Linked DNA regions of Astyanax mexicanus. The protein of the gene in region 1 interacts with the protein of each later gene in a biochemical or structural test. Links are inferred from orthologs where the notes say so. Each region holds a gene or a part of one and is shown in the gene's direction. Other genes may lie near its edges.

Evidence for each region.
Region 2: of the proteins of mcm7 (region 1) and cdc7, one has a biochemical effect on the other in vitro, tested with the Homo sapiens proteins (2 studies listed by BioGRID). The link is inferred for Astyanax mexicanus from reciprocal best matches to the Homo sapiens genes MCM7 and CDC7.
Region 3: the proteins of mcm7 (region 1) and chek1 form a complex in vitro, tested with the Homo sapiens proteins (2 studies listed by BioGRID, with this or other methods). The link is inferred for Astyanax mexicanus from reciprocal best matches to the Homo sapiens genes MCM7 and CHEK1.

Annotation. Positions count from the first base shown.
Region 1 is NC_064426.1:60,668-70,643, forward strand, and holds the start of mcm7 (DNA replication licensing factor MCM7), read left to right. Parts: upstream 1-5,479; 5' UTR 5,480-5,655; coding exon 5,656-5,686; intron 5,687-7,053; exon of another isoform or gene 7,054-7,157; intron 7,158-7,849; coding exon 7,850-7,929; intron 7,930-8,016; coding exon 8,017-8,181; intron 8,182-8,269; coding exon 8,270-8,394; intron 8,395-8,481; coding exon 8,482-8,662; intron 8,663-8,777; coding exon 8,778-8,915; intron 8,916-9,022; coding exon 9,023-9,172; intron 9,173-9,319; coding exon 9,320-9,434; intron 9,435-9,584; coding exon 9,585-9,716; intron 9,717-9,824; coding exon 9,825-9,908; intron 9,909-9,976. Other genes in the region: cohesin subunit SA-3, read right to left, coding at 199-396, 1,060-1,156, 1,814-1,866. UniProt on the Homo sapiens protein: Acts as a component of the MCM2-7 complex (MCM complex) which is the replicative helicase essential for 'once per cell cycle' DNA replication initiation and elongation in eukaryotic cells.
Region 2 is NC_064411.1:55,010,569-55,021,151, forward strand, and holds the start of cdc7 (cell division cycle 7-related protein kinase), read left to right. Parts: upstream 1-6,332; 5' UTR 6,333-6,537; intron 6,538-7,373; 5' UTR 7,374-7,402; coding exon 7,403-7,472; intron 7,473-7,580; coding exon 7,581-7,667; intron 7,668-8,092; coding exon 8,093-8,228; intron 8,229-9,023; coding exon 9,024-9,117; intron 9,118-9,203; coding exon 9,204-9,346; intron 9,347-10,583. Other genes in the region: tceanc2 (transcription elongation factor A N-terminal and central domain-containing protein 2), read right to left, coding at 861-1,055, 3,675-3,871, 5,119-5,260, 5,330-5,434. UniProt on the Homo sapiens protein: Kinase involved in initiation of DNA replication. Phosphorylates critical substrates that regulate the G1/S phase transition and initiation of DNA replication, such as MCM proteins and CLASPIN.
Region 3 is NC_064424.1:6,592,003-6,602,088, forward strand, and holds the start of chek1 (serine/threonine-protein kinase Chk1), read left to right. Parts: upstream 1-5,654; 5' UTR 5,655-5,818; intron 5,819-6,974; 5' UTR 6,975-6,993; coding exon 6,994-7,058; intron 7,059-7,153; coding exon 7,154-7,377; intron 7,378-8,119; coding exon 8,120-8,184; intron 8,185-8,689; coding exon 8,690-8,759; intron 8,760-8,848; coding exon 8,849-9,037; intron 9,038-9,140; coding exon 9,141-9,245; intron 9,246-10,086. Other genes in the region: cfap53 (cilia- and flagella-associated protein 53), read right to left, coding at 636-854, 1,838-2,141, 2,575-2,748, 2,873-3,102, 4,392-4,463. UniProt on the Homo sapiens protein: Serine/threonine-protein kinase which is required for checkpoint-mediated cell cycle arrest and activation of DNA repair in response to the presence of DNA damage or unreplicated DNA.

The DNA of each region.
Region 1 (9,976 bases):
CTGCAACTTGCAATACTACAGCACTCCACATTACACCAGCTCCAGACTGGACTATTCATCAAAATCGCTTCCAGTTTTTAGATTCTTCTGCTTCTGAGTTTAAAGTTGAGAGCTGCACTAATATATTTATTTTATGACCTACTAACCTGGAGGTCTTTATAGAAATTAATTGTAGAATAAAACTTAAACACCCCTTACCACGATGGCGCTGCGTCCTGAGCGTACAGACTCATACAGGTGTCCCGCAGCAGACTGGCTCCTCCCCCACTCCCTCCTCTGGCTCCTTCCCCCCCGCCGCGTCTCGGTTGCGAGGGGGGTTGTGGGCGTGTCGGGCCGGGATGTACCGGAGCTGCTGGCCGACTGACTCGCTGTTCTCTGCCGGAGTCTTTTGGGAGACTGTGGAGACACAGCTTAGAAGTGAATGAGTTTAGGAGAGTTAGTGTTAGTTAAATGTGATTGTCAGCGTGTATTAGTGAAGCGAGTGTATCAGAGCCTAAGCGAGTGTAAGTGTAAGCGAGAGTAAGCAAGTGTAATTGTGTGTAAGCAAGCGTGAGTGTAAGCAAGAGTGAGCAAGTGTAATCGAGTGTAGGTGAGTGTGAGTGAGCGAGTGTAAGCGAGAGCAGGGGCGTAGCAGCAAATTCTGGGCCCTGTATACTCTCAATGTCAGTGGGCCCCTATCCATGCCAGTACACAAGTATCTGGAGTTTCATGGGCCCCTCTCCCTACTAGGGCCCTGAGTAGTCAGACAACTTTTTCCCCCACTACCACGCCCATGAGTGAGAGTGAGTGAGTGTTATGGAGTGTAAGTGAGAGTGAGCGAAAGTGAATGTTGGTGAGTGTAAGCGTGTTCGTGTGAGTGTTAAGACCGACTGACATAATTTTTTTTGGCGTAAAAAATCGAAAACGTAGTGGAAAACTCTCTCAGTACTCCATACTTTCGTGAGTGAAAACAAGAAAGCAAGAGTGAGCGAGTGTGTGTAATCAAATGAGTTTAATTTGAGGCGAATGTGAGTGAGTGTAAGTGAGTGAAAGTATGGATGAGAAAGCAAATGAAAATACTGCTGTTTCCACTGCCATGTCCAGTTTTCTCTTTGAGATTCTTAGCTGGAGCTTGAAGTCTGCATCTGAGACATCGTCCAGATCCTCAGGACTACTACTGTGTCACACACACACACACACACACACACACACAAACAAACACAAATTACGTTTACTTGCAGGGACATTTCAGTATCATGATCAAATCTAAGCTGATCAGTAAATTATTTCAAGTCTAAAATTAAGTGTCATCCTCTTGATTAATTAGTAACCATAGATTTTTTTTAGAAATATCAGTTAAGAATTGTTTTAATGTTACTGGTGTGGGTATTGTTCTTTCATACTAAATGGAATAGGAACAATTTATATTTAACAGGATTAACATGACACTAAAGACTTGAGGAAAGAGTTAAATTCCAGATCTGAGATGTATTTCTATTAAGATTAATGCAGCACCTCAGTGACATAAAGCTAAGTAAACATGGTGTATTTCACCAGTGTTGTTCTTCTCTTGATGTAGAATATGGCGTTTAAAAAGTGGATCAGTGCCCCAATGTTGTGTGTGTTGGCTGTGAGTTGTCCTGTCAAAGAGAGATGTACATGTTCATAAACATCCCAACAAATAATAAAACAAAACATCAGGGAGGTGTGATGAGTACAGGTTGGTAAATTTAAAGATTTACTAAAATTATAATTCAAGTTTTCTATTAAATTTTTTCTTCATACCTCACATATCACCCACATTTGATATCATAATATCAAAATATATGCGTACATGTTCCCAGAGGCTTTAAACACCAGTTTACCTGTCCCGGTCAGACTCTTCATACTTCATGCTCTTCCCTTTATTCACAAAAACCTGCTGGAAAACAGAGAGGGTAACAGCTTTACCTCTCATATCAAAGGACTTTTAAAATTGTTTAATTCTACTGAAAAAAGGTAAAACACATTAAATCACTAGCTGTACTATTGTACAATTCTGTAGGAATAAGCTGTACTATTGTAAAATACTGTAGAAATAAGCTGTACTATTGTAAAATACTGTAGGAATAAGCTGTACTATTGTAAAATACTGTAGAAATAAGCTGTACTATTGTACAATTCTGTAGGAATAAGCTGTACTATTGTAAAATACTGTAGGAATAAGCTGTACTATTGTACAATTCTGTAGGAATAAGCTGTACTATTGTACAATTCTGTAGGAATAAGCTGTACTACTGTAAAATACTGTAGGAATAAGCTGTACTATTGTAAAATACTGTAGAAATAAGCTGTACTATTGTAAAATACTGTAGAAATAAGCTGTACTATTGTAAAATACTGTAGAAATAAGCTGTACTATTGTACAATTCTGTAGGAATAAGCTGTACTATTGTAAAATACTGTAGGAATAAGCTGTACTATTGTAAAATACTGTAGAAATAAGCTGTACTATTGTACAATTCTGTAGGAATAAGCTGTACTATTGTAAAATACTGTAGAAATAAGCTGTACTATTGTACAATTCTGTAGGAATAAGCTGTACTGTTGTACAATTCTGTAGAAATAAGCTGTACTATTGTAAAATACTGTAGGAATAAGCTGTACTATTGTAAAATACTGTAGAAATAAGCTGTACTATTGTACAATTCTGTAGGAATAAGCTGTACTATTGTAAAATACTGTAGAAATAAGCTGTACTATTGTAAAATACTGTAGGAATAAGCTGTACTATTGTACAATTCTGTAGGAATAAGCTGTACTATTGTACAATTCTGTAGGAATAAGCTGTACTATTGTACAATTCTGTAGGAATAAGCTGTACTATTGTACAATTCTGTAGGAATAAGCTGTAATATTGTACAATTCTGTAGGAATAAGCTGTACTATTGTAAAATACTGTAGGAATAAGCTGTACTATTGTAAAATACTGTAGGAATAAGCTGTACTATTGTAAAATACTGTAGGAATAAGCTGTACTATTGTAAAATACTGTAGGAATAAGCTGTACTATTGTAAAATACTGTAGGAATAAGCTGTACTATTGTAAAATACTGTAGGAATAAGCTGTACTATTGTAAAACGCTAGTTAAAGTTTTAGAACTAGAAAAGGACTCTAGCAGCAGCTAATTAGCAGATTAGCATTAGCACGGTCGAGTTTAGTGGCTCTGAGCGGGGAATTTACCTCAGAAATTGTGAGATGAGCGGTTCTACAGTTTCAGGAGCGCTGAGGAACCCGGTTCTCCTTTGCAGCAGAACTTTTCCCCGGTTCTGGTTCTAGCTCAGTTTGAAAGAGATCTCTTGGTTCCGAACGGCTAAATTTAGGCGCGCTTTTAAGCGAGTTCTGATTGGACAAAACGGCGCAGCAAACGCTAGAAAACAATTGGTCAATAACAGCGTCCAGTAAACGCTGATGGATTGTTTTGTGGTTTCTACCCAGCAACACAACCAGAGAAAAAGCTACGAGCCCGCTGTTTTTAATTGGATGTTCAGCAGTAATCCTCATCTTCTTCATTATAGTAAATGGGTTATATCATATATCATTGTTAAAATACTGACTAAATAACATATTTGCTAAAAATCACGTTTAGAAGCAGTGACTCATGAGAGTAGGGAAGCGCTTTAATGTCTGTTTGACCATATTCATAAAAACTAAACAAAAAAAATATCTACAACATAAGAATTATACAATTTAAACATTAATGCAAATACAATAAATGAATATATATAAATGGTAAGATGTACAGTGTGAAAGAAAGAGAATAAGATAGGAACTAAGGATTAAAATTTAAATACGCAACAGTGTTTTTACGATGCTGTAAAATAATCAGGAGGTAGTGTATGGTTTAATAAATATTAATATAAATGGTTATATAAATATTTAACATAAACACAAATTAATGTGATGAGAAAAATAAACTAGACTAAGTTATTGGAAATGTATGTTAGTTTTATGAGTGTGATTAATTGCTTTCTAAAATAAAGCATTCCTGGATTTATTGTGTTGGAAAATGGTGTGTTTTAAGCACAATTTAAACAGAATTAGTTCACATATTTCTCAATATTTTGAGATACTATTTAAATATTTTGAGATACCATATTAATATTTTGAGATACTAAGTCAATATTTTGAGATACTATAAAAAATCCTGAAGAAGAAAAAATATTACTGTGGATTTTTTACATAATGACCCTGTGAACATAGCATGTAATATAATATAATGAATGGTGAAATAGCACTTTACACCTAATTCCAAGACCTTTATCTCTTCAGACTTAAGTCGTCTCACAAAAATGACTGACGCACCTAATACTCAATACGTCAGACTGTCAGTGTGAGGTACTGTTTATTAGTGTGAGGTACTGGGTATTAGGTGTGTCAGTCATTTTTGTGAGACGACTTAAGACTGAAGAGATAATGGTCTTGGAATTAGGCGAAAAGTGTTATTTTACCATTATTTTTAATATTAATTAATTTATATTATATTACAGGCTGTGCTCACAGGATCATTGTGAAAAAAATCAGTAATATTTGACCTTCTTCAGGATTTTGACAGTCTTATGTATTGTGTAATAGGTATGATAGTTTTCTAGACGACTTAAGACTGAAGAGATAATGACCTGGGAATTAGGCCAAAAGTGAAAGCAATAACATTTTAATTCATATCATCTAATTTTATTTACATTATATTTCACTCAGAGTTAATCTCTGTCCCTCGCATTGTGTTCTCTCCTTTATTCAGAGCGTTTGCATAGCGCTTTGCTTACATGCTGTTATTTACTGTTAAAATGCGCCATCTACAGGCGGCCGTATGTATGTTCAGCCAGCATTTAAGATGGAACGGAAATCTGAAGTAGACACTGGCGAATAAGAAGCTATAGATAGTATCTCAAAAATATTGACTTAGTATCTTAAAATATTGACTTAGTATCTCAAAATATTGACTTAGTATCTTAAAATATTGACTTAGTATCTTAAAATATTGATTTAGTATCTCAATATATAGAGATAGTGTCTCAAAATATTGAGATAGCAGTTTACTTAATAATAATAGTTTTTTTTGCTGGATTATTTTTATTTTTTAGGTGGCGGGAATGGGCTTCCATATTTAAGAGATATGATTGTTGATAAAAAAATACTCCTCGCTCCCTACATAGTGCACGACTTCTACAATCAAAAATGGAACTGCATTTAGTGCACTAGTTAAAAAAAAACATACGTAGGAAGCAAAGAGCCAATTGAGATTCACCCTGACATTTTTGGCGCCATTACAGTTCAGAACGTGGTTGGTCGACAAGGTCACGCGGTGTGTTACGTATCTCTCAGTTTTCGCGCCACACATAATCCCCGCCCGTCTTTTCTAAGAATCTATCGCTGATTGGTGGAGTGTGTACGTATCCTTTTGCTCTCATTGGATGATACCTTCAGAACTCTTGTTGTGATTGGTCCGCAGCGCAGTTAGACTCCCGCCAGTTTTCGCAGACCGTGCTGTGTGGAGTGGAGCGTGCGCGGAGACACAGTGACGAAACTTTAACACTCGCGTTTCTAGATAATAACTCCTATAATCAATATTCTCCAAGGAATAAATCGATTTAGGATCGATTTAGGAGGCTGAACATCAAAAAGACCGATTGGAAATGGCACCGAAGGATTATTTAGCCGAGAAAGGTAAGAAACTGCAGGAACTCTGAGGATCTGAGAAAGAAAAATGGCGATCAGATTTTTAATCATGTACTGACAATTATTCTGTGTTAATACAACATAATGTTTTTAATTTCGAGTAAGACGCTTTTATCCGGTGGAAACATTTTATAGCGTTTTAGTCTAACGGACCGTTCCACCTTAAACGGTGCTCTAATTCTGTAGCTTTCTGTCGCTGCTAGCTGTGTAAGTCATGCAGCTTTTAAGGTGGAACTACTTGTACTACTTGAATTACTTAAGGTGGAGCGACTTGTAGCTTATTAGTAGCGGGAGTTTCGGGATGGTGTGTGTGTGTGTGTGTGTGTGTTGATCAGAGCGATTCCACTTATTTCTCCTTAGTGACTCACTATGATTAATAAATAGTGGTTGTCAGCTAGTTAGCTTAGCTGTGGTTAGCAGTGTTCATTGTTCGCAGGCTAACTTCCCGCCGCGCTTTAACTGCGCTATTAACCACACAGCTCCTGCTCCGCTGTTCATCACACTTCTATAAGCAGCAGCTGTAAAGTTAGTTCTGTTAATTTAGATCAAACCGTGTTTTAGACCAAAGACTAAAGTTTTTCCAGTAAAGTTTACAGAGCTGTGGACGAGCAGCAGTACCCGGATGCACGGATAAGTCAATGAGTCGGTTCGTCTGAGCCGAGCATATGAATGAACTTGACGCAACTACGCAATGTTTACGTCTCAGATCAACAGTAAATACCGAATTAAATCCAAACATAGAATTTATACACACAATTTAAGGTCGTTAATATCACACAGCTGCGAACTGAGGGTGAGATCTTTAAACCGAGGAGCAGCGGATTCCTCTTTTGAGTTTTTATAGTACGGTCAGCTGCTTCGAGTGAACTGGCAGGAGTCGACTCTGGGATGACTCGATCTGCGCTGGTTACCCGGATGCACCCGTAAAACAAAGAGCTGTGGCGCGCGGAGGAGCACGTGCAGTGAGAGTCTGCGAAACACGCACGCAGTTTGTTTACACACACAGACACACACAGAATATACGCGCAAGTAGTAAACATATTAATCGTTAATGTAAATGCGGAGTAGTGTTAAGGGATCTCTATATTATATTGGAATAAAATATCTGCGCGTTATTTTGCTTACTATATTTTGAACCTCATCGTTAGTTTTATAATTGAAATGTAAACAAGTAAACAGACTGGCGTGTCCTGAAGTGTAGATTAAGTCCTACTGTTCCTGTCTGAATGCGTGTGCTGGGGGAGGGTTGCTTCTGTGTTTATCCGGGCACTATTTGGAGCAGCGCGGAGGGGCACAGTATGTGAGAAGGCCGGGAGCCATGTGCTTCTTTGTTTACAAAAACAGCAGCGAGCGCGGAGCTCCGTCTGTCTCTACCCCGCTCTCTGCGCGCTTACAGCGGGGTTCCTGGGCAGCCCGGCGCGCGGAGAAGACCGCAGGATCCAGTCGCCGACACACCGCGGTTCGTATTCGGAGCGGGGCTGGGCTCGGAAAAAGGAGGGCGGCTGGGAATCCTAATGTATAAGAAAAGCTGTTCGGAAAGGAGCAGGGGTGGGGGTTAAAGATGGAGTTCCGAGCTTTAATAAAGAGGGTTGACACACAGGGTATATAAATATAAAAAATGCTGAAAACTCGAACTCTACGTTCCACCTTAAATTAGTCCAGCAGTTAGAGCAGCAGTGCGCCATAGGATCCAGCGTGAAAGTGCTGCACTAATTTAAGGTGGAGCTGACAGTTTCTGATAGTTCACCGATTTTTAAGGTTATTGGTTATTTATTAAGGTTACTGCGCGCGCGTGTGATGTACCTGTACACGGTTATTGTGACGCACTAAAGCTTCTAATAAGCAGTTGTGGTCCTCCTCCGCGTGGGGGAGGGTGCAAACCACGTGATCACTGTTTATCAATGGGAGCTTCTCCTTTGTCGTGTAGCACCTGCTCCCCTTCACTAAGTGTGAGACATTTTGGACACACTTATGTGGTTTAATCTGGTACGTGTGTGTGTGTGTGTGGGGGGGGGGGGGGGGCGGGGGGGGGGCTAAACATAAGTAAGGGTCAGTAATGGGTACAATCCGATCTGAATTACATTGGGCAGGTCTTTAGAATTGGCGTTCTAATAGTTTTTTTAATGTGTGTGTGTGTGTGTGTGTGTGTAGAGAAGTGCAAGCGCTTCCTGCAGGAGTTCTACTCTGAAGATGATTCTGGAAAGAAGGTGTTTAAATATGGAGCTCAACTGGTGAGTAATACCCACACACCCTCTGTCTTACCGACACTGAGCACTGTCACCTTTTTCTTCTCCAACTAAGTGTGTGTGTGTGTGTAGGTGGCCCTGGCACACAGGGAGCAGGTGGGCTTGGTGGTGGACCTGGATGACGTAGCAGAGGAAGATCCCGAGCTGGTGGAAAGTGTGTGTGAGAACACAAAACGGTACACAGTGCTGTTTGCAGATGCAGTCCATGAGCTTCTCCCAGAGTACCGGGAGCGAGAGGTACACACACACACACACACACACACACACACACACAGCATTCCACTCAGAGGTGTTTGAGCAGCTACTGAAAACTGGTGTGTTGCAGGTAGTGGCCAAAGATGCGCTGGACGTTTACATCGAGCACCGGCTGATGATGGAGACCAGGGGTCGTGACCCCGCCGACATGAGGGACCCCAGGAACCAGTACCCTGCTGAGCTCATGAGAAGATTGTGAGTGAACAGCATATTAATGCTTAAGGGCATAAAAATAAAAAAAGAACACAAATGACTCTCTCTCTCTCTCTCTCTCTCTCTCAGTGAGGTGTATTTCCGGCCACCCTCCACCTCTAAGCCGAAGGTTGTGCGGGATGTGAAGGCCGACAGCATTGGGAAGCTAGTTACTGTCCGAGGAATCGTTACCAGGGCAACTGAGGTTAAACCAATGATGGCTGTTGCTACGTACACCTGTGACCAGTGTGGCGCGGAGACCTACCAGCCGGTACAGCTATCTAGAACCTGTTACTGACAATATCCTCTGGGGGGTCTCTTTGTTTTGAGAATAACTTTTTGTGTGTGTGTGTGTGTGTGTGTGTGTGTGTGTGTGTGTTTTATAGATTGCGTCTCCGAGCTTCATGCCACTCATCATGTGTCCCAGTCAGGAGTGTGTGACCAATCGGTCAGGGGGGCGCCTCTACCTGCAGACCAGGGGCTCAAAGTTTGTCAAGTTTCAGGAGCTGCGGATTCAGGAGCATGTGTGTGTCTTCAATCAGCTCTAAATCAGAACCGGAGTAATACCGGGCTTTGGACCCTCTGTGCTGCAGAGAGACTGTACTAACCTCTGGTTTTGTTTCGGCTGCAGAGCGACCAGGTTCCAGTGGGGAACATCCCGCGCAGTATGACTATTTACGCCAGAGGAGAGAACACACGATTAGTGCAGCCGGGAGATCACGTGGCCGTTTCCGGGGTCTTCCTTCCTCTTCTTCGCTCCGGCTTCAGACAGGCTGTGCAGGTACACACACACACACACACACACACAAAGATTAACCTACCGTTGTTCAGCTGCTGGCTGATAGTTTGGGTTGGTGTGGTTAGAGTTCCTATGGAGGCGCTGTGTTGAACCCTCAGATGTTCCTGTTCTGACTGGCTGTGTTCTCAGGGTCTGCTGTCAGAGACGTACTTGGAGGCTCACTGTGTGACTCTGATGAATAAAACGGAGGATGATGAGCTGGGTACTGAGGACCTGAGTGAGGAGGAGCTGCGGCAGATCACAGGTGTGCAGTCGAGTCTCAGATTTGCAGGTTTTTGCTGTGCTGAGGCTTTCTCTAAATGTTTACTTACTTCAGATCATCTGTGCAATACCTTAAACTCATCACTGTTCTACATTATAAATATGTTTATAAAGTGTGTGTGTGTGTGTGTAGAGGAGGATTTCTATGAGAAGCTGGCTGGGTCGATCGCCCCTGAGATTTACGGCCACGAGGACGTTAAGAAAGCGCTGCTGCTTCTGTTGGTGGGCGGAGTCGAACAGGCGCCTCGTGGGATGAAGATCAGAGGTCCGATCATTTTCCACTTGAATCACAACCTGTATTTACTCACTCACACTTAAAAAAAGAAAAAAAAAAGGAATGTTCAGTTGAGTGTGTGTGTGTGTGTGTGTTTAGGTAATATTAACATCTGTCTGATGGGAGATCCTGGAGTGGCCAAATCACAGCTGTTGTCCTACATCGACCGCCTGGCACCCCGCAGTGAGTCCAACGGTTCTCTCTCTCTCTGCTGCACCCCCGCTGCCCTGTGCTCTCTCTCACTCTCTCAC
Region 2 (10,583 bases), on another chromosome or scaffold:
CATGCTGTTTGAACAGCGCTCTAGTTAAAGGTAATATGGACATCCTGCTCTTCAACATTATTAAAACCAACCAATGATATAGGCCCAATCCCATTTCACCCCTTAAACCTCCTACTTACCCCTACCTATTTTTTTTTTAGTGTAACCCTTCCTTTTGGAACAGAGTTAGAAGAAGAAGGGGTAAAATCCTCCCCCTAAGAATTGGGAAAACCATCAGGAGCGCTAAAGTTCAGCAACCTAACTGCTGCTGCTGATTAACTAGTTAACGTTAGGGTGTATTTTATCGTTTGTCTTCAGAAAGGTGAGAGATGATGCAGAAATGATTTATTACTGTCCATTCCTTAATTCCTCTGTGATGGGGAGCTGAAATTTGCTTTGAATATCTTTTATTTTGTTTTATTTTTCCGTTCCACCTTAAATGATGCAGCCCCTGCTGTCTGTTGCACCATTTAAGGTGGAATGGGAAAGTTAGCTAGCTAGCTAGCTACTGATACAAACTATTAGCGACCTTTTAATCCTTTTTTATGAAGAATTTGGCCTTAAAACATTGAAACTACTCATTAAACTATGGTAAAATAGTGCTAATCGTCACTTTTAGCTTGGAAAATATTTACATTTGTGGGTTTCTTACCAGTGATTCTGAAAAATCTCTGTATGAAGGATAACAAGCCCTATACCTATACCTTCCCCTAACCCTAACCTACCCCTGCAGCCTAACAAGAATCAGGACACCTCTAGCACACACAAAACAGAGGGGTGGTGGATCAGGGGTGAAATGGGATTGGACCATAGCATTTAAAAATCATACAGTATAAAAAGTTTCACATAAAATTAAAATAAAATAAGTAAGATGGTAGGAGTCACTGTTTCTTCTTGTGATTGCTCACGAACGTGTTGACAGGGAGTGTCCCGTCCCTCACTTGTGCTCGGACGTCCGGTTTGTGCTTCAGAGCGAAGACCAGCGCTCTGATAGTTCTTCTATAAACCACGTTAATCAGACGAGAGGACTGATGAAACACCTCCCTCTCCATGTTCTCCACCAGCCCATCACTGACCTGCAGAAACCAACCAGAAACCAGAGGAACATCACACGAAACAAAATGATGTTTTCTTTTTCTTATAGTCTTTTTATTTATATACAAAACAAAAGCCAAATATGAGACAGAACAATAAAACAAACATTGTAACCCACACAAATCCACCCCCCATATATCCTCCTGAGACCCTGCGTCCTTATATGGGGACGTTACTGCTTCTCTGCATCATGATACTTAGGCTGTGTCTCAATTCAGGGGCTGCATCCTTCGAAGCACTCATTTAAAGGCCAATTACGTCACCGCGGTGCGACTAGGCTGTCCCATTTCGAAGACTCCTTCGAATGCGGCCGACGAATGCAGCTTTCCTTTCCTCAAAAACAAAGGATGCACCGGGTGTATCCCTCACAGCCTACAGTATCCCAAGATTCATTGCGTGCCGGCTTATTTCAGCGCGAACAGGGCAGAGTCAGCAGAGGAGTCGGCTCTATTATGTAGTTTATAGATATATAAATACTTATAGATATTATAAATATTATTTATATATTATATCATTTATATTATTTAGTTTATATGTATTATCATGTTTATGTTGTTATATGTTAATAGTTTATACATATGTAAATACTATACTTCATATATATATATATACATATATATATGTATATATATATGTGTGTGTATGTATTTATGTATTATTTAGTTTATTTTTAAGTATTGTTTGGTTTATATATATGTAGTATATATAAATATATATATATATATAAAATACTATATATATATATATATATATATATATATATATATATATATATATATATATATATATATATATATATATATATATATAATAGATAATATAACATAATACTTTATTCTAATTTATTCTCTTTTTTCTAACTTCATTTCAAACGCCATTTTATTTATGTTCAGTTCCACCCGTTCACATTAAAAATATTTAAGTAACTGCACAGTTAATTAACCTGGACTTAATTAATTTGGTATTTTGTGGTCTGAAGCAAAACTAGATCAAAATCTCTGGCTCATTTCTCAGCCCTTTGGTTCTCAGGTCACTTTGGTTGTGGAGGGTAGAATCTCAAACAGGAAACAGGAAATACACCGTAGGGTAGACTGTCCCATTTCAGTACTGCCATCGCAGCCTACCCATCCTTCAAAGGACACACCTTCGTAGACCACGTCCTTCGAAGGATGCAGCCCCTGAATTGAGACACAGCTTTAATCAGTTAAAATGTTGACCCTTTGACCTCATATGAAGACACTTCCAGTACCATTACACTCAATTAAAATATATAAAAAAATATATATGTCTCCATTTAAGGACATACTGAGGACGTTTTTGCAGAAATCACAATTAAATTAAATTAGATTAGAATTGTAATTTAAAAAATACATTTTTATGAATAAATGAATGAAATGATACTGAAATGAAATGTACTCAGAACTTTTCTCTGTGGATAGATTGAGCAATTCCACTCGTCTCTTTTTTGAGTGAATAATTGCTGATTGCTGTTGTTTTTCTGTAATCAAGTTTTTACACATCCAACCCACAGCTTCCAGTTTACCCTACCCACAACCATCCCTCCCCACCTGTTTGCTGTTGTTTTTCTATTTTACTCCCATAAAAACACTCTTACAGTGAGGAACAGCAGCAGGAGCTCCTCAGATAAAGTGCTGTTCCCGTACCCCTAATTTCCCTTAACTAATCTCAAGCTAAACCTGGGCCACAGAAGGATATACAGTAGAAATATACATATACATACATACATACATACATACACCTACATACACATATATTAAACAAAAAAGGAATGTGAACCCACTTCTCACAACCTGTCTAAAGTTCTATATTACCTAAGCTCTTTATATAACCCATAACGGGTCCCCACATTGTTTCAAAAACCTCCTGTTTATCCTTTACAATATACAGGGTTCATACACTTTTAACCAATACATTTCCATGACTTTTTCATGCCTTCAAGGCAAATTTTCATGACCATACGATTAGAATAAAATATTCTAAGACACTATTCTGAGAACCTTTATTGGCTGTAAGCCATAATCATCAACAATAAAATAAATAAATGCTTAAAATAGATGCAGATTTCATTTTCCAGCCGGATGTGGAACACTGCCCACACTGCCAAAAATATTCTTATTTTCTGAGACACTGATTTTTGGGTTTTCATTGTCTGTAAGCCATAATCATCAACTATAAAATAAATAAACGCTTAAAATAGATCACTCTGTGTTTAATAAATCTATATAACAATATAGTGCATTACAAAAACCGACAATGTTTTCCTATCTCTCCTATCTTTAAATTCCATTCGCAAACCACCCATCCCACCACTTCCAGTTTACTGTACCCACATACAACCCCCCCTGTTTGCTGCTGTTTTTTTTATTGTACTCAGATAAAAACACTCATAGAGTGAGGAACAGCAGCAGGAGCTCCTCAGATAAAGTGCTGTTTCCGTACCATTCATTTCCCTTAACTAATCGCAAGCCAAACCTGGGTCTCAGGTTGGTTGGTTGTTGGGGTTTTACTGCAATAAAGTAACTTTTCAATCATATTCAAATTTTTTGAGATGCACTATGTATCAGTGCAGTACATCCTACCTCCGGTCCGATGCTGTCAGCGAGGAGTTTGACCGCGTTGCTCCGGAGCCCCTCAGTCTGTTTATCACTGCGGACCTCTATAGAGGGTTTGTTGGCGTTCTCCGCGATGAAGGTTCTCCAGTGTGTGTAGACTTCCCGCGCCAGAGCCTTCACCTCAGCGTCCGGATGCTGCTTACGCACGTTATTAACCGTGTGACCTACAGGACAAACAGTATTCATACTTACATACTGAAATCTGTATAATATATAGAAGAGTATACTGAAAATTACAAAGTAAATGAATAGTGAAGTGATCCGGACTATGAAGAACCACATAAGGAATCATGTAGTAACTTAAAATTACTGTTAAACAAACACAACAACAACAAATACTCTGGTTTCTGAGGCTCGTAACTCTTTTCCTGGGGCAGACCTGATGAGTGCCCGTTCCATCATCATAATGTTTTTGATTTAGTGTTTGCGGTGACTGCACTTAAGAATGCTTTGCTCTTCAAACTTTACAACTGATGCTCTCAAACACTTTATTAAGAGACAAGAAATTCAAGTAATTAACTCTTGACGAGTTCAGCACAGCTGTTAACTGAAAGCCTGAATTCCAGGTGACTCTACCTCATAAAGCTGACTGAGAAAATCCAGCAGAGATGTAGAAAACTTTATCTATGCAAGAGGTTTTAGTTTAAAGAATGTAAAATATTAAACATATACTGTTTGTTCAACACGTTTTTCTTTACTAATTAATTTTAATATGTTTTGCTTCATAGTTTGGATGAATTTAGTATTAATCTACGATGCAGAACATTTCAGAGTATTGAAAAAAAAAACACTGAATTTAAGGTGTGTAACTGTTGACTGGTACTGTATATTTGTTAGAGAACATTTGTGCAGCTTGACATTAAATGGACATTAAAAGGCAATTACATTTTTAGTTACTTGGATTTTATTGTATATAAATTTGGATAAAACATTTTAGAATGTCATGTTTTGTGCACATCACAGAAACATTCTAATATTCTTATATATATATATATTTTTTCCATTTTTACATACAGCAACAAATGTAAGTTTTATTATACCATGGGGAAAATTTTGAAAAAATAGAAAATTTAGATAATATAATATTAAATTCATAATTTCCTGAAGTTATTATTGTGAAGTGCCGAAATGGAAAAAAAAAATTGAAAAAATGTATAAAAAAAATTTCTTCACTATACTAAATGGAATAAAAATATATATAATTTTAAATAATATAAAAATTATTATTATTTTTTAGTTAATTGGATTTCATTTTATATAGAGTGTGTATTAAGAATATTACAGTCTTGTTTTGTGTGGATCACAGAAAAAGTCTCATATTCTTATATTTTTGCACTGGAACATAATTAATGTCTGAAAGGGTTAATTCAAATATCTACAAATAAAAAAACAAGGTAGCTCCTTTTTTTACCAATTCTGGTGGATCTCAGCACCTCTTTTGAAGGCACTTTCTTGTCCAGCTCCCTCAGAGCCATCAGCATGTTCTCCTTAGTCTGAGCAGGAAGTTCCAGCATGGCCTTAAACCTCTCAATGTCCTCAATCACCACCACCCTCTGAATAACACAGAGAAACCTGTTCACACCCTGTTCACACACATCACTACCTCACACTACACTCCTCACCTTCAGAGACTCCAGAGTGGCCTGTCTGTACACCTTCTCTGCAGGTTTCCCTCCCTGCTGCTGTCCTCCAGCCTGCTTAGGGATCTTCACCACAAACCTGTCCATCCTCTTCCTCTCTAAAAACGGGTCCTAATGTTCTGGCTGCTTCACTGATGATCTTCTCATGTCTTGCTTTCACTTAACACTGAGCACAACAACAATGAACAGGAAGTTTGAGTTGCTAGTGGAGAAAACCGGAAATTCAAAATTAAAGTCGCATACAAACAAATACAAGAAAAGAAAAGTGTGAGTAAAATAAAAGTCTGAATCGTGAAAATAATTCAAATTAATTATTACAACAAAAATGTATTATAATTATGTTCACTATTCAGACTTTTATTTTACTCACACTTTTCTTTTCTTGTATTTGTTTGCTTGAGACTTTTATTTTGAATTTAAAAATGTTATAGAAATGTTATATTATCATTTTTTTTCTTTTTTCTTTTTTATTAATTTTTGTATACAATGCGATCCAACAGCATGAAACAGACACAATAATAGATCGAATTTACATCACAACAAAACAAAAACACAAACAAACAACAAATCTAAACAAACAAACAAGAAAAGAAAACAGTGGGATTTAAATAAAATTTCAAATTATATATGACATTTATGTATATTTCTCTTTTTTCTATTTCTCTTATTTTTGGTCTATAACACTAATTTCACTAGTTTATTAAGTCCCAGTCCCCGGTTAGTTAAGTCCCAATTAATTAAATTGTCCCCACGACTTAATCATCTTGTTCCCACACATTAATAAATTGCCCCTGTGACTTAATCATCTCATTCCTACCTAGTCGTCCAATTCTTTAATTTTCTTGTTCCCACTTATTAATAATTATTATTATTATCATTATTATTTGAATTTTCTTACGTGATGTCGCCTTAAGATCTCCGTAGTACTGTGATAAATAATAATGAACTTTTATTTTGAAATTTGTCAGTCCGCCATTGTTGGTTTGCTGCGCGTGACGTCAGCGGGGTGTCGGTTTTAGCGGGTTTTCCGTAAAGCGGTTTATTCAGTTCTGTGGAGTTTTTAGCTTTTAAACTTCATATTTACCACCATTTACCCGCTTTAACCGATATAAAACCTCTCCCCGCGGGGTAAAAGCGGATTAAACTCATGTTTTAAAGGCTGTTTGGTAATAAAGAGGACTTTGTTGAAGGTAAGTTAAAGTTATTTGTTTTAGTTCCGAAACAAAGTAAATAAACCGGATTAAATTCGGATAATAAAGCTTTAATTCATCATTAAACAGAGGAAAAATGTGATAAAGTGTTTTTGCAGAGGGTAATTTATTGTTTTAATGTGTGTTTGTGTTGTAAATTGCTGAGTTACGGTGTTTATAAGGGCAGTATTGTGTTTATCTGTTCAGATTTCTGATGGTTGAGGCTCGAAAATAAAATACTAGGTTCAAATCTTCTTTATAAAAAAAATTCCCTGTTTTCTATAATAAAATTCCAACTTTCTAGTTTTTAATTTCTGCCCCTCACAAAAACTGAATTTTAGAATTTTCTACATTTTTTTTATTTTTCAGTCTAAATTTGAAAATGTAAATTTTATTTTTTAGTTTTGTGAAAAATAAATTGTGTTTTGTTTTTGTAATTTTTTTTTTGCCTGTCACATTCAGAATTTCAGGAAAATTTCAGGAAAATTGATCTTTTCTCATTTTTTTGATTTTTCCGTTTTTACATACTGCAACAAAAGTAAGTTTTATTATAAAATTGGAAAAATCTGAAAGTTAAGAGAATATTAAATTAAAATAATTTTCTAAAGTTGTGATTGTGAGGTGCTGAAATAAAAAAAAAAAATAAAATTGTAAAATTATGTATTTTTTATTTTTTTAAATTGTGAAGTCCAGAAAAGTTTTGTGCTTTATTTTCTGCTTTCATATTATGCCTTAAATGATCAGAAGGTTAAACTTTGAAGTTAAGTGAAGTTAAATGTTACACTGACCTTGTAAGCTGTGTGTGTAAAATGATCTTATTTTTTGTGTTTTTTTAGGCAGGATTCTCCAATATATTTTCTTTATAATGGAGAAGGAAACGGTGCCGGTCTTACAGAGGAAACCAGAGGAAACCGAAAATAAACGAAAAATCTCTAGTAAGAATAATATAAAAGTTAAAAAAATTAATAATTTTCTAGCTTTATTGGTCATTCTACAGTTTGATTGTATTCAGTATTTGTGTGTGTGTGTGTGTGTTTTTGCAGGAGATGTTGAGATGGATATTGAGTATCTGTATGAAGTTGTGCCCCAGCTGTCCCGGGTTTTTCGAATCACAGACAAAATTGGAGAAGGTTTGGAATTTGCGTAATTTTAAAACCCTCAAATAGAAAATAAAACTCTAATAATATTGAAGAAAGCAACTTGTTATGGTATTTTTTAATGAAATTCTATATTTCAGCCTAAATACACATGATGGTTCATTAAAGAGGCACTATACCCCCTGATTTTAGCTGACTAGTTTCTCAGGGGGACGTCTGTGAAATATATTTCACACTTCTACTCAGTGATAAAACTCCTGCATCGGACTGCAATTGAAAAAAAGAGGAGAACCAATGAGTTTTTAGGCTTTCTTGGTCACATGACATCTCGTTCAGTAGCTCCTCCATTTCCATTCGCTGTTGTGTTTACACCCAAAGTGTAATTACGGTGCGCGGCAGTGGACATATAGCTATTTTATTTTATTCTAACTGTAAATTCTGTTTTTTTTTATCCTCAGGTACCTTCAGTTCTGTGTATCTCGGTGAGGCTCAGATGACGGACGGCAGGAGGGAGAAGTTTGCGCTGAAACATCTCATCCCCACCAGCCACCCGGTTCGCATCGCTGCAGAACTGCAGTGTCTGACTGTAGCAGGGTCAGTGCTCCTCCTCTATTCACCTCATTTAAACCTTAGTAAAGTTTATTTCCTCAGAAATTAATACAGTCTGAAGTAGCCAGATATGGAAACTAGAGAATACAGCTGACGAAAAAATAAGAGACAACTTAAAATTGATGAGTTTCTTTGATTTTACCAAATTGAAAAACCTCTGGAATATAATCAAGAGGAAGATGAATGATCACAAGCCATCAAACCACCAAACTGAACTGCTTGAATTATCCAAAAGCAGTGTGTAAGACTGGTGGAGGAGAACATGATGCCAAGATGCATGAAAACCATCAGGGTTATTCCACCAAATATTGATTTCTGAACTCTTAAAACTTTATGGATATGAACTTCTTGTTTTATTTGTATTATTTGAGGTCTGAAAGCTCGGCATCTTTTTTGTTATTTCAGCCATTTTTCATTTTCTGTAAATAAATGCTCTAAATGACAATATTTTTATTTGGAATTTGGGAGAAATGTTGTCTGTAGTTTATAGAATAAAACAACAATGTTCATTTTACTCAAACATAAACCTATAAATAGCAAAATCAGAGAAACTGATTCAGAAACTGAATTTTTACATTTCTTTACGTTACATTCATTCTTTTATTTGCATTAAAATATCCACTGTAAACTTGTTTGTCTTAAGAAGAAGTAGTGAGATTAATCGCAATTAATCACAGAAATTTGTTGTGATTGATCAGATTACATTTTTTAATCAATTGACACGACTAATTAAAATATATTGACATTTTTTAATGAGATATTTTGTGTTTTGTGTTGCAGTGGTAAGGAAAATGTGATGGGGGTGACGTACTGCTTCAGAAAGGAGCATCATGTGGTGATTGTGATGCCCTATGTAGAGCACCAGCCTTTCGTGGTGAGTACTGTTGAATAAAATCATGGATTAATATCACTTTAATTCCCTTTATAAAGGTAATAAAGCCGTGTTTCTTCCTGTTGTAGGATATAGTCGGCACTCTGAGCTTCGAGGAGGTGCAGCATTACATCTATCACTTACTGAAAGCCCTGAAGCACATTCACGAGTTCGGCATCATCCACCGAGACATCAAACCCACAAACTTCCTCTACAACCGGCGGGACAAACAGTACGTCTTTTTATTCCTTACTCCTCTCATCATTCAATAAAACCCCTTTCCAGATAAATCTCTCCATCCAGATAGAGTGAATCTGATTGTGATTGGATGTAGAGAAGTATAAACATAGCAGGAACATAGCAGATATATGTAGTGTCGTATGAAGATGATCCGTGCAGAGACTCAAGAGAACTCCAGACAAACTCCAGCCCAACTAAACTTCTTTAATATATTTACTATATTCTACTAAAATACATTCATTTTCAATCAGCATATATGCAGCTAAAACACTAGGGAACAGCGTAGTGCATCTTAAATTATATTATCAACATGAACATTTTAATATTTTAACATTATAGTCATTATGGCTTAATATATATACATATATATATATATAAAATTTAATTTTTATTTTTTAATATTGTGAAGAAGAAATAGTTTTTTGTTTTTGTATTTTTTTTGCCTGTCACATTCAGAATTTCAGGAAACATTTTAGAAAAAATTATCTTTTCTCATTTTTGAAATTTTTCTGTTTTTACATACGGCAACAAAAGTAAGTTTTATTATACAACGGGAAAAATTAAAAAATCTGAAAATTAAATGAAAATAATATAAATAATAAGTTAGGATTGTGAGGTGCCGAAATGGAAAAAAATTAAAATTGGGAAAAAAGAATAAAAACACATTTTTTTTCTTCACTGTACTAAACGAAAAAAAATATATATATATATTTTTCTCATTTTCTGTAAATAAATGCTCTAAATGAAAATCTTTTTATTTGGAATTTGGGAGAAATGTTGTCTGTAGTTTATAGAATAAAACCACAATGTTCATTTTACTCAAACATAAACCTATAAATAGCAAAATCAGAGAAACTGATTCAGAAACTGAAGAAGTGGTCTCCTAATTTTTCGCAGATATGTATATACTAGTATTTAAAATGACACCCCTAATATGAATATAATTGCATTTTTTATCATTTGCGTTTTTTACATTTGTTCTTTTGTTCTTAAAACTTGTGTCTTAAGAAGAACAATGCGATTAATCGCAGTTAATCACAGAATATTGTTGTGATTAATCAGATTAGATTTTTTAAATCGGATTAAATTGTTAATATACATTGACATTTTCAATGAGATTATATTATTATATCCCAAATTATATTATCAACATTAACATTTTAATATTTTAACATTATATTCATTATGAGAAAAATGTACATTACTTTTACTTTTATTCTGTAAGTAGT
Region 3 (10,086 bases), on another chromosome or scaffold:
AAAAAAAATTTTATAATGAAAAAACACAGAATTTTACAGTGTGTCCAAATTAGTACTGTAAATCATAGATGGATAATATTACCATGCAGTGCAGTGGGAGGTAATGATTGTGACTGGTGTCATCTGACAAGAATTGCCATAGGATATGATACTAGTTCCTGTCCCATGATGACTTTTAGCAGGTTGGTGTAGTTTACAGTGCTTTGCTATTTTTACTATAATGCATTACACAATTTATTAATAGCAGTTTTGACCAATTGTGCCCCTGACTTTTAGGTTTATTATTCAGTTATTAATCTTCAGGCATATTATTCAGTAATGGCTATGAAGTATCCAGAGAAAATGAAAAAAACTACTCTGTAGTTAATATTATAAAATTTAAGAGTGGACAAATTAACCTATTGGCCCACATATTGAGCCTTAGCACTATAGAAGTTGATTAGGCCTTTGGGAGAATCTGAATGTGTAGCTTCCAAGCTTTTGGGCATTTCTGTCCACAGTTTCTGATCACTTAATTTATTAAGGTTTCAATACTGCACACTATATGACTGAATCAAAACTGTACACATCCTCTTACCTTTAACCTTCTTCTGCATGGTTCCTCTTTGCTTTAGTGTGGCACGATCAGTTCTTACCTTCCTAAGAGCTTCTTCCTTTTTCTCGTCCTTCTCGATTGTCAGCAGTTGCTCCAGGATGCTCATGTCCAGGGCCAGCTCGTCCTGCTGCTCCTGCGCCACTCGCTTCATCTTCAGCCGCAGGGAGAGGTCCAGCTGCCTGCGCCGCCGCTCCTGACTCTGGAGCTTCTGTTTGTGCTCCCTTTGCTCCTCCAGACGCAGCATCTCGCTCTGCTCTCTCTGAACAACACAGCATACAAACACAGCTTCAGCAAAGACAGAGCAGTGAAGGAACAGTGTCTGTCAAAAGTGTTTAATGAACCTTCATATACACTGTGGCTTTTGGTAGGGGAGACCAGGGATTGTTGTAACATGTAAAAGTTGTAACACCTTGAATTTCTCCAATTAGAAACAAGCTAGAGTGATTACACTCACTGTGCACATGCTCAGTTAGACTGAGTTAGACTTAGTCTTCTTGCTAACAAAAAAGAAGACGTATTTGAAACTCCAAATGTGTTTTACATTGTGTTACAATGTGTTGTATTAATTTTCCACCAAGATCTTGCAGCAGCATTGATGATGGTAGAGTCTGACCACTGCTCAAAGCAGCTCTTCTCCATCCAGCACATCCCAAAGATTCTCAATGAGGTTAAGATCTGGACTCTGTGGTGAACTCTCTCAATCCATGTGTGAAAATGATGATCTCATGCTCCCTGAACCCTGAACTCTTTCACAATTCCAGCCCCATGAATCCTGATATTATCATGTCTGTATCACCAGGGAACAAAAAAATCCATTGGTGGAATAACCTGGTCTATATTCAGTATATTCAGGTAGTCAGCTGACCTCATTCTTTCAGCACATACTGTTGCTGAATCTAAACCTGCAGACCAACTGCAGAATCAACCCCACATCATTTACTTACTTAAATCCAGGTAGCGATTTTTTTTTGTCCAGACAGTGTATATTGCAATACTGTAAAACAAGGTAATAATTTGCAATTCTTTAAAACAAATTTAAGAAAAACTTTTATAGCATAAAAAGATCCTATTATATTAATAAAATCTGAGTAAAGGAAAAGTTTGATTGCTATCCAATCAGAACAGTCGGATCTGACAACAGAGTACAACACTTCTAACTGGTGCAAGTGGTTTAAACACAACACCAAATTGAAACACTGTCTACCACTAATCTTTACATGTAAACTGTTAGGAAACTAGTACCAGTAACTTGGCCTCTTCCTCTTTGAGCTGTTTGGCCTGCTGTCTCTGCTGCTCAGCCGCCATCATCTGATCCTGCAGAAAAGCCAGGGTGTGAAAGTTGCTCTCGCGCTGACGCTGAGCCTCCTGGATCTCGCGCTGCTCTTTGGCCAGTCGGTCGTTCTCCCACAGATTAGCGAACAGCATTTCTTCATCCTTATGCAGACGGCGTGCCTCGTCCCGTGTACGGATTTGAGCAGCTCGCTCCCTGCAGATCTCGTCCCGTCTGCGCAGGGTCTCTGCAGTCCTCAGCTCCTCACACTGCTCTCTGAAATACAAGCGGAGTAAAACACCCATGATTAATTAAAATAAATATTGTATGCCTTTTGCATTCACAGTGACATTCACAGTGACATTAGCACACATGCCTGGAGCAGTGGGCAGACATCGCAGCAGCATGTGGAGTTAAGGACCTACTGTAGCTTGACGAGCCCTGATTTCAAACCTATAATATAACTTCTGCACCACCACTACCCCTAATGGTCACATGTTATTAGAGTAGCAGGTTATTGATGACAGGACTGTGGCCCTTAAGCCCTTAAGTGACAAATGCCCACCACTCCAGGCATGTGTGCTCACTATATATCATTATGTGTTTCCAAAACCCTTTGCATGCTGTAAGTTGCCATTTACAGCATATCCTTTAGATACAGTTATGTTATGCACAGTTAGCAGTAATAAAAAAAAAAAAACATTTGTACCTAAAGAGCTGGTCAAGTTTCTCAGCAGCGACTTTCTGCCTCTCGCTCTCTCTTTTCTCCTGCAGATACTTTGCCCTCGCTCTCATTTTGGTTTGCCTCTCCAGCACAGTCTCGTTCTGCTCCTCTGTTGCCCGCAGAAATTCCCTCTCCTCTGATTCCAGCATCTTACGCAGCCTGTAAGAACAGTAATAGTGTGAAAGAAAAAGAATAAAAGAAGGAGAGAAAAAGTAAGAAACTACTCATAATAAAAGTACGGTAGTAGATTTTAATTAGTGTAAAAATGAACTGAGTTGAGAACCTTTCTCTCCTTTCATCGATGCTCATCTGATACTGTTCCATAGCCTCATTGACCCGCCTGTCAATAGTGGCCGACACCATCCGCTGTTCAGTGTTTCTTTCCCAAAGCATCTTCAGGTCACAGGTTTTCTGGTCCTTGGTGAATTCTAGCACCTTGTTTCGACTGACTTCCTGTTTCCTCCTCTCCAGAATAAAGTAATCTGGGGGTTTGGATGATGGATGCCGTGCCCTCTAAAATATTTTAAATAGATAATTAATCAATAATCATTAATAAGAAAAGACTTCACAATAACAAGTAGGGGTGGGACATATCGTTAGCGATATGAGGAGCTCTAAACTCATTTGGACTTGGCCCCCTTAATAGAATTACTTTTTATAACTGTTGTTTAAAAGCTTTTAAAAATTACATCTGCAGTTTTAAAACATTTGATACTGATTTGTGTTGAGAATTTTTTTTACATTTTTCATTATAAAAATTCTTGATTTTATTTATATACATATATTATGATGTCATATAAAACCCCAAAATATGACAACATGGTGAGGGAACTAGGGAATCAAATTCTGGGACTCCTAGAAGTTCTATGACTGAATGAATACCTGGTAGAGTTGTATGGAGCAGAAACAAAGCAAAATGCAGACTTTCTAAGAGGACACAGTTGCTAGGCTAACTTAGCTAACAAACACAGGACAATAGATTGTCACCAGTCTTACCATAGCAGCAGAAATGTACACGTTTTCTCATTCAATGTATTTTATATATTTTTTATATATTTTTTTACATTTACATTTAATAATGAAGACCTTATATCTACAGGAACACGTGATGAATTGTTCTTTAAACAAGTTTTAAACAAACCAGAATATGTTTTATAATTTAGAGTATAAACTCTAAAGTAGTACATTTATCTTTGAGTATTGAGTATCTTGGTATTTTAATCTCAGTGTCTTCATGAGGGAGTGTCACCTGGAAAAGTTTTCTCAGCGTCTTGAAGGAGTTCCTGGAATACATTACATTATATTAAATACATACAATAATTAAAAATGGGGTGTTTTAATTTGCCTCTTTGGCTTTTAGTGCTGTTTTTTTAGTGCAGTGGGCAGGGTTAAGTTATTTTTTCACTGGCTAATAAACTTTTTCTTTGGCTCGTTTATAGTCTAATCTATTTTTTGTTTTACTGTTTATTATGTTATTCCATATGTGTCCCTTAATTGTTTTTTTTGGCCATAATATTAATCTACAATGTAGAAAAAAACTTACAATAAATAAATAAATAAAAAACATTGAATGAAAAGATGTGTTGAAAAGTTTGACTGGTAAATTAAGTCTGTGAGAATTCTGAGTTTAAACTGTTGAATGGATTTTAAATACTAGATATGTAGCCACTGGCCTGCTGTAATATTTAATATCATATTTAAGTCATATTTATGTAATAAACCTTCCTGATCTAGTTACTGTTTATCAGAATTGAATAATAACACATTGGAGCCTCTGATAAAATAAGACAAAATAAACTCACCACTGCCACTGAGTGAGGGGTGGGTCCGGTGAACTCCCGGCACTGTGTTCGGTGTCTCTGACTCATCAGCATATTGACTAATTAGCTAATTATTAATATTACAAATCCTAAATTTTCCTAAGTATTGCTCTGGGGAGTTTAAACCTGATGGAGGACACTTCTGTTTGCGGTAATGCCCTTCTGTATCCTAGCAACCAGCGATACCAGAGATAATCTACAGAGGAGAATACCCCCTTATTAATGTGTTCTGGGTATGTTTGACACTAGAGGGCGCTCCTGATTGAGCCTAAAATGAATGAGTTCGTATGGAGCAATTAAACAAAATCATATTTGATCAATGTTTGATCGTTTTTATATAAAAAAAACTTTTTTTAAACACAAAACAATATAAAATAATTCAGTACAAGACACAACAATTGTAAAAAAATGTGTCAATAATATAAAAAAAATCCCAATTAATCGCACATTTTCTTCCTTAAGACCAAGCTTTTGATAATGGGTATTTAAAAGTTAAATGAATCAGTGTTAGAAACACTTAGATATGTATTATTGTTGCAACTACTTTAAATATAATTGTCATCAATCATGCTAGCATTATTTTTATTCTGGTAATTAACTGTATTTTTGGGAAAAAACTAAAATAATTCATTCAAATAATACGGCATAAAATAATATAATGCAGCAAAAAATATTGCAGAATATTTAGTGCATGCATATTGCCGCTGTCCAATAAAAAACACTGATCTCCAAAACAGAAAAAACCTTGTAAACTTTCAGTGGAAATCAATATAAAAAGAGTTTATTTCAGTGTGAGGGACAGGTTGTCTGTTCAAATTATGTAGTAAACTGAAAATTAACAAAAATGGAGATAAGTGTTTTTTTTTTCATAGGACAGCGCTGATATAAACTGCTAACTAAAACAATTATACAATAAATACACTTAAAACTTCACAGTAAATAACAGACTACTTTTAAGACAGAACATCCCTATCATCACAATATGGATTTTTAATATCACGATATTTCTGTGTCACTATATATGGTATATATAGGATTAAATAGGATTATTGTTTTATGGTGTATTTATGTTATTTTATTTTAGCCTTCAATCACTTTCTTTATTTTATTTTTTAAAATACCCATTTTCTCCCCAATTTTGCACAGCCCACTCATTAATCACTTGCTTCTAAACTTAATTCTGAATAAGACTTGTTGAGGCTTTTATTTTGAAAAGTGGTGGTACTGTATCGTGCTTCCTGTGAGCGCGTTGCTACTAAACGCGCCAAAGTTTGTTTTGCTGTGTGGCTGGAGGAAGCAGCGGATATATAATATACTCATTAATAAATCGTGTTTTCTGCGCTAACACGCGCTTATTATTTATATGGGAGAATTTCCCCTTAATCCACTACAGAGCTGCGGTGTGTGAGGTGAGTTAGATCAGCGCTGAGACTCAGAAACACTGTTTATTTAACTGCTGTTATACAGTCCGGCTCTCTGACTGTAACGTTATCTGCTGCAGATCACAGATCCTGAACTTCGTCTATATTAATACATATAAATAAATAAATATCAATTTAGGATAAATATTGAATATAAATATATAAGAAGGGTTTAATGGGTAACTGCCGGATTAGATTAATGTTAGAAAAAAGTGAGAAAACAATAGAAACTTTAATAAGAGAAACTCTAACGTTACAGGCTGGCCTCTCAAGAGAGTAGATAATCACTATCAATAGATAAGCTTAATATTGATAAGTTATTGATACGTCAATGACTGTACTGTATCTTAATATTGCAGTTAACTTACAGCATTATTACAACTGCATCTGTATATGTGTATACAAGTGCATCTCCAAAAAAAATAGAATATCATTGAAAAGTTACTTTGATTAAGTAATTCGGTTCAATATGTGATATATGTTATATATTATATAGATGTATTACGCACAGAGTGATCTATTTTAGGTGTTTATTTATGTTATAGTTAATGGTTAATTATGGCTTATGAAAACCCCAAAATCAGTTGCTCAGAAAGTTAGAATATTATATAAGACCAGTTGGTACTTTTGACAGTGTGGGCAGTGTGCCAACTAAGTCCTGCTGGAAAATAAAATCCGATATCTTACAGCCCTCATGCTTACTTCAGCTGACAACTTTTATGGAGATGTGGATTTCATTTTCCAACATGACTTGGTTGGCACACTGCCCACACTGCCAATTATATGATTGGGTTTTCATCAACAGTAAAATAATCAAGATATTTTAAAGTATTGTTGTGATAAACTTAGCAGATAAAGAAATCATTTTGTTGTCGTTTTTTGGAAACAACAATAACATTCTAAGATGATTTTGTATGAAATAAGTATGTAACAAAATAAATAATGTAATATGAAAATAATCTGATATAACAACGCAAATCTGCCATAATACTAAATTGTAGAATATGTATATTTAGTTTGTGTATAAACAACTATACAAAATATACCCTTTAAAGCTTTACATGGCAAAATAAATACAACAGAATACTCATTTAGAAACCTGTTTGTGGAGATTTCTGATCTAATGTTCTGGTTTTGTGTTCAGTGTCTGTTCAATTCAGATAATGGCTGTTCCTTTTGTTCAAGACTGGGATCTGGTGCAGACCCTAGGAGAGGGTGCATATGGAGAGTGAGTGTCCATCTGTGGGCTTTTTCTCTGTGCTGTCTGTTCTGGAACCATTAAAATGATTCTGAATATTTATTTTTTTATGCTGTTTTTTTCAGGGTACGCCTGTTAGTGAACAGAAAGACAGAGGAGGCAGTGGCTGTGAAAGTTGTCGACACATCCCGAGCTAAAGACTGTCTGGACAATGTGAAGAAAGAGGTTTGTGTGCACAAGATGCTGTCACACGCCAACATCGTGCGATTCTTCGGGCACAGGAGTGAGGGGCCCATCCAGTACATCTTCCTGGAGTACTGCAGTGGAGGAGAGCTGTTTGATCGAATAGGTGAGAGCAGAAAACATTGATTTAATGTTTAAATTAAACGTAATAAACCTTAGTCTGACCCTAATTAAATAATTGGTTAAAATATTATATTACATGTAATGTTTTGACACTTGGAGAAAAGGGAACAGCAGTGGTAGATTCCTAAAAACTGTTATTTTTCAGAGATTTGTCATATACTTAAACAGGATTTTCTACACTTTATGCAGTTAAATGTACAGCTGGGTCAGTGTTCTTTTGGCAGTGATGATATTCTTGATATGCTTTAAGGAAAAGCATTGTGAAATATGATAATATATTGTCATATTGCCCAACTTTTATTGGTGTTTGCATAGTTCTGTGGATCCTGAGAAAAATGCAGAAATAAATAAATAAACCAAAAGCACTAAAAACAAACACTATGATGCAGAAAAATGTTCCAAATCTGAAACTATAACATTTGGAGAAAATGTACAAATTGCAGACATGTTAGACAAAGCTTAAAGGACATATTATTCAAAAGCATCCAGTAATTTCTAGGTGAAAAATGTATTATATCAGGTTTAGTATATTCTTGTTTTTCACAGGATGCAACAACAGCATTTTTCCCAAAATTCCCATAATTCAGAGAAAACAATCTTAAACCTGGAGTTTCTAGTAATGGGCATGTAGCCGACTACAGAATGAAGGCAACTACAGGGATCAGCTGGTCTATTTAGCAAATATTTGAAGATAATTAAACATTTATATTTGTGTTGTTTCTCAGAACCTGATGTGGGAATGCCAGAAAAAGAGGCTCACAGGTTTTTCCAGCAGCTGATAGGAGGAGTGGTGAGTGCTGATATTTATTTATTATATTAATTATTTATTAGGGGTGTTCAATATGGTCCAACAATTTATAGCCCAATATTTTTCCGATGATTATATTTTTGACAATACAAAAAATCCTCTGATAATATTATATTTGATCTAAAAATATATTATGCCAACAAAATAAATGTCAAAGCTTTATTCAATGAATGTATAATTTTTGTCTATTTTGTAATCAGTATCTTACCAAAATTGATTTTGCACAAAATGGTAATGAAGTAGCAAAAAATCTATGAAAATATATCTGAAAGTTCCAGAATATTCAGTGCATGCATATAAACTGCTAACATTTTATATATAAACAATTATACAAAAATACCTATTTCATCACATAATACTGATATGGACTTTTAAATGTTATCTATAACGTCACATTATATTGTGTACAATTTATTATAGCTATTATATTTTTTTAAAACTGTAAAGCACTGTAACAGGTTTTTTCTGAAATGTGTTATTTTCACAGGAATATCTTCACAGTATTGGGATCACTCATCGCGACATCAAGCCAGAAAATATTCTGCTGGATGATAAAGGTGGTTTAAAATGTTTAAATCCTTTCGTATAAATATTAAATCTCCCATAAGAAAGGATGTTCATACTTTATTGGTTTATTCTTTCTTAGATAATCTGAAAATCTCAGATTTTGGTTTGGCTACGATGTTCCGGCACCGCGGGCGCGAGCGTATGTTGACCCGGCTGTGTGGGACGCTGCCCTACGTGGCTCCAGAGCTGATGTCCCGGCCGGAGTTTCACGCTCAGCCTGCAGATATCTGGGCCTGTGGCATCGTGCTCACTGCTATGCTGGCTGGAGGTGAGGAGAACACCTGCTGAATTTATTTTACAGTGAGAATAGTGAAGCTTAATGTACCTGTGCTTTATTCTGAAGGTCTCTGACGCTCAGACCTGTTTTACAGAGTTACCGTGGGACCAGCCCAGTGAAAGCTGCCAGGAGTATTTTGATTGGCTGCAGAAGAAAACCTACCTTACACCATGGAAGAAAATTGACTCCATCCCGCTGGGTAATTGGCTGTAATATATAACCTGGAAACTTTAATGCATTAATATTTAATCGCAAATTAATCACATTATCAAGTTTGCCCCGACTTCCTCCCGTAATTAGGAGTTTTATTTTGCAATATAAACATAGTGTTGTAATGCTGGGTTCTGAATTATATTTTCATTTATGCTGAAATGTGGATTTAATACAGCTCTGTAAAAAATGAAAAGAGCACTTCAGTTTCTGAATCACTTTCTCTGATTTTGCTATTTATAGGTTTATGTTTGAGTAAAATGAACATTGATGTTTTATTCTAGGAACTACAGACAACATTTCTCCTAAATTCCAAATAAATATATTGTCATTTAGAGCATTTATTTGCAATAAAAATGAGAAATGGCTGAAATAACAAAAAAGATGCAGAGCTTTCAGACCTCAAATAATGCAAAGAAAAGTTTTAAGAGTTCATAAATCAATATTTGGTGGAATAACCCTGGAGTTCTCCTCCACCAGTCTTACACACTGCTTTTGGATAACTTTATGCTGCTTTACTCCTGGTGCAAAAATACAAGCAGTTCAGTTTGGTTTGATGGCTTGTGATCATCCATCCTCCTTTTGATTATATTCCAGATGTTTTCAATTTAGTAAAATCAAAGAAACTCGTCATTTTAAGTGCTCTCTAGAGCTGTATATAACACTCCCACCTCTTCCTTCACTTCTTTCCTTCCACCTTGCTTAATCCACCTCACTTACAGCTTCCACCTAAAATAATAATGTACATTTTACATTTACATTTTTTAATCATAATTAATATCATGATTAATCAGAATATTGTTGTGATATTCAATATTTTTTAAAGCAAT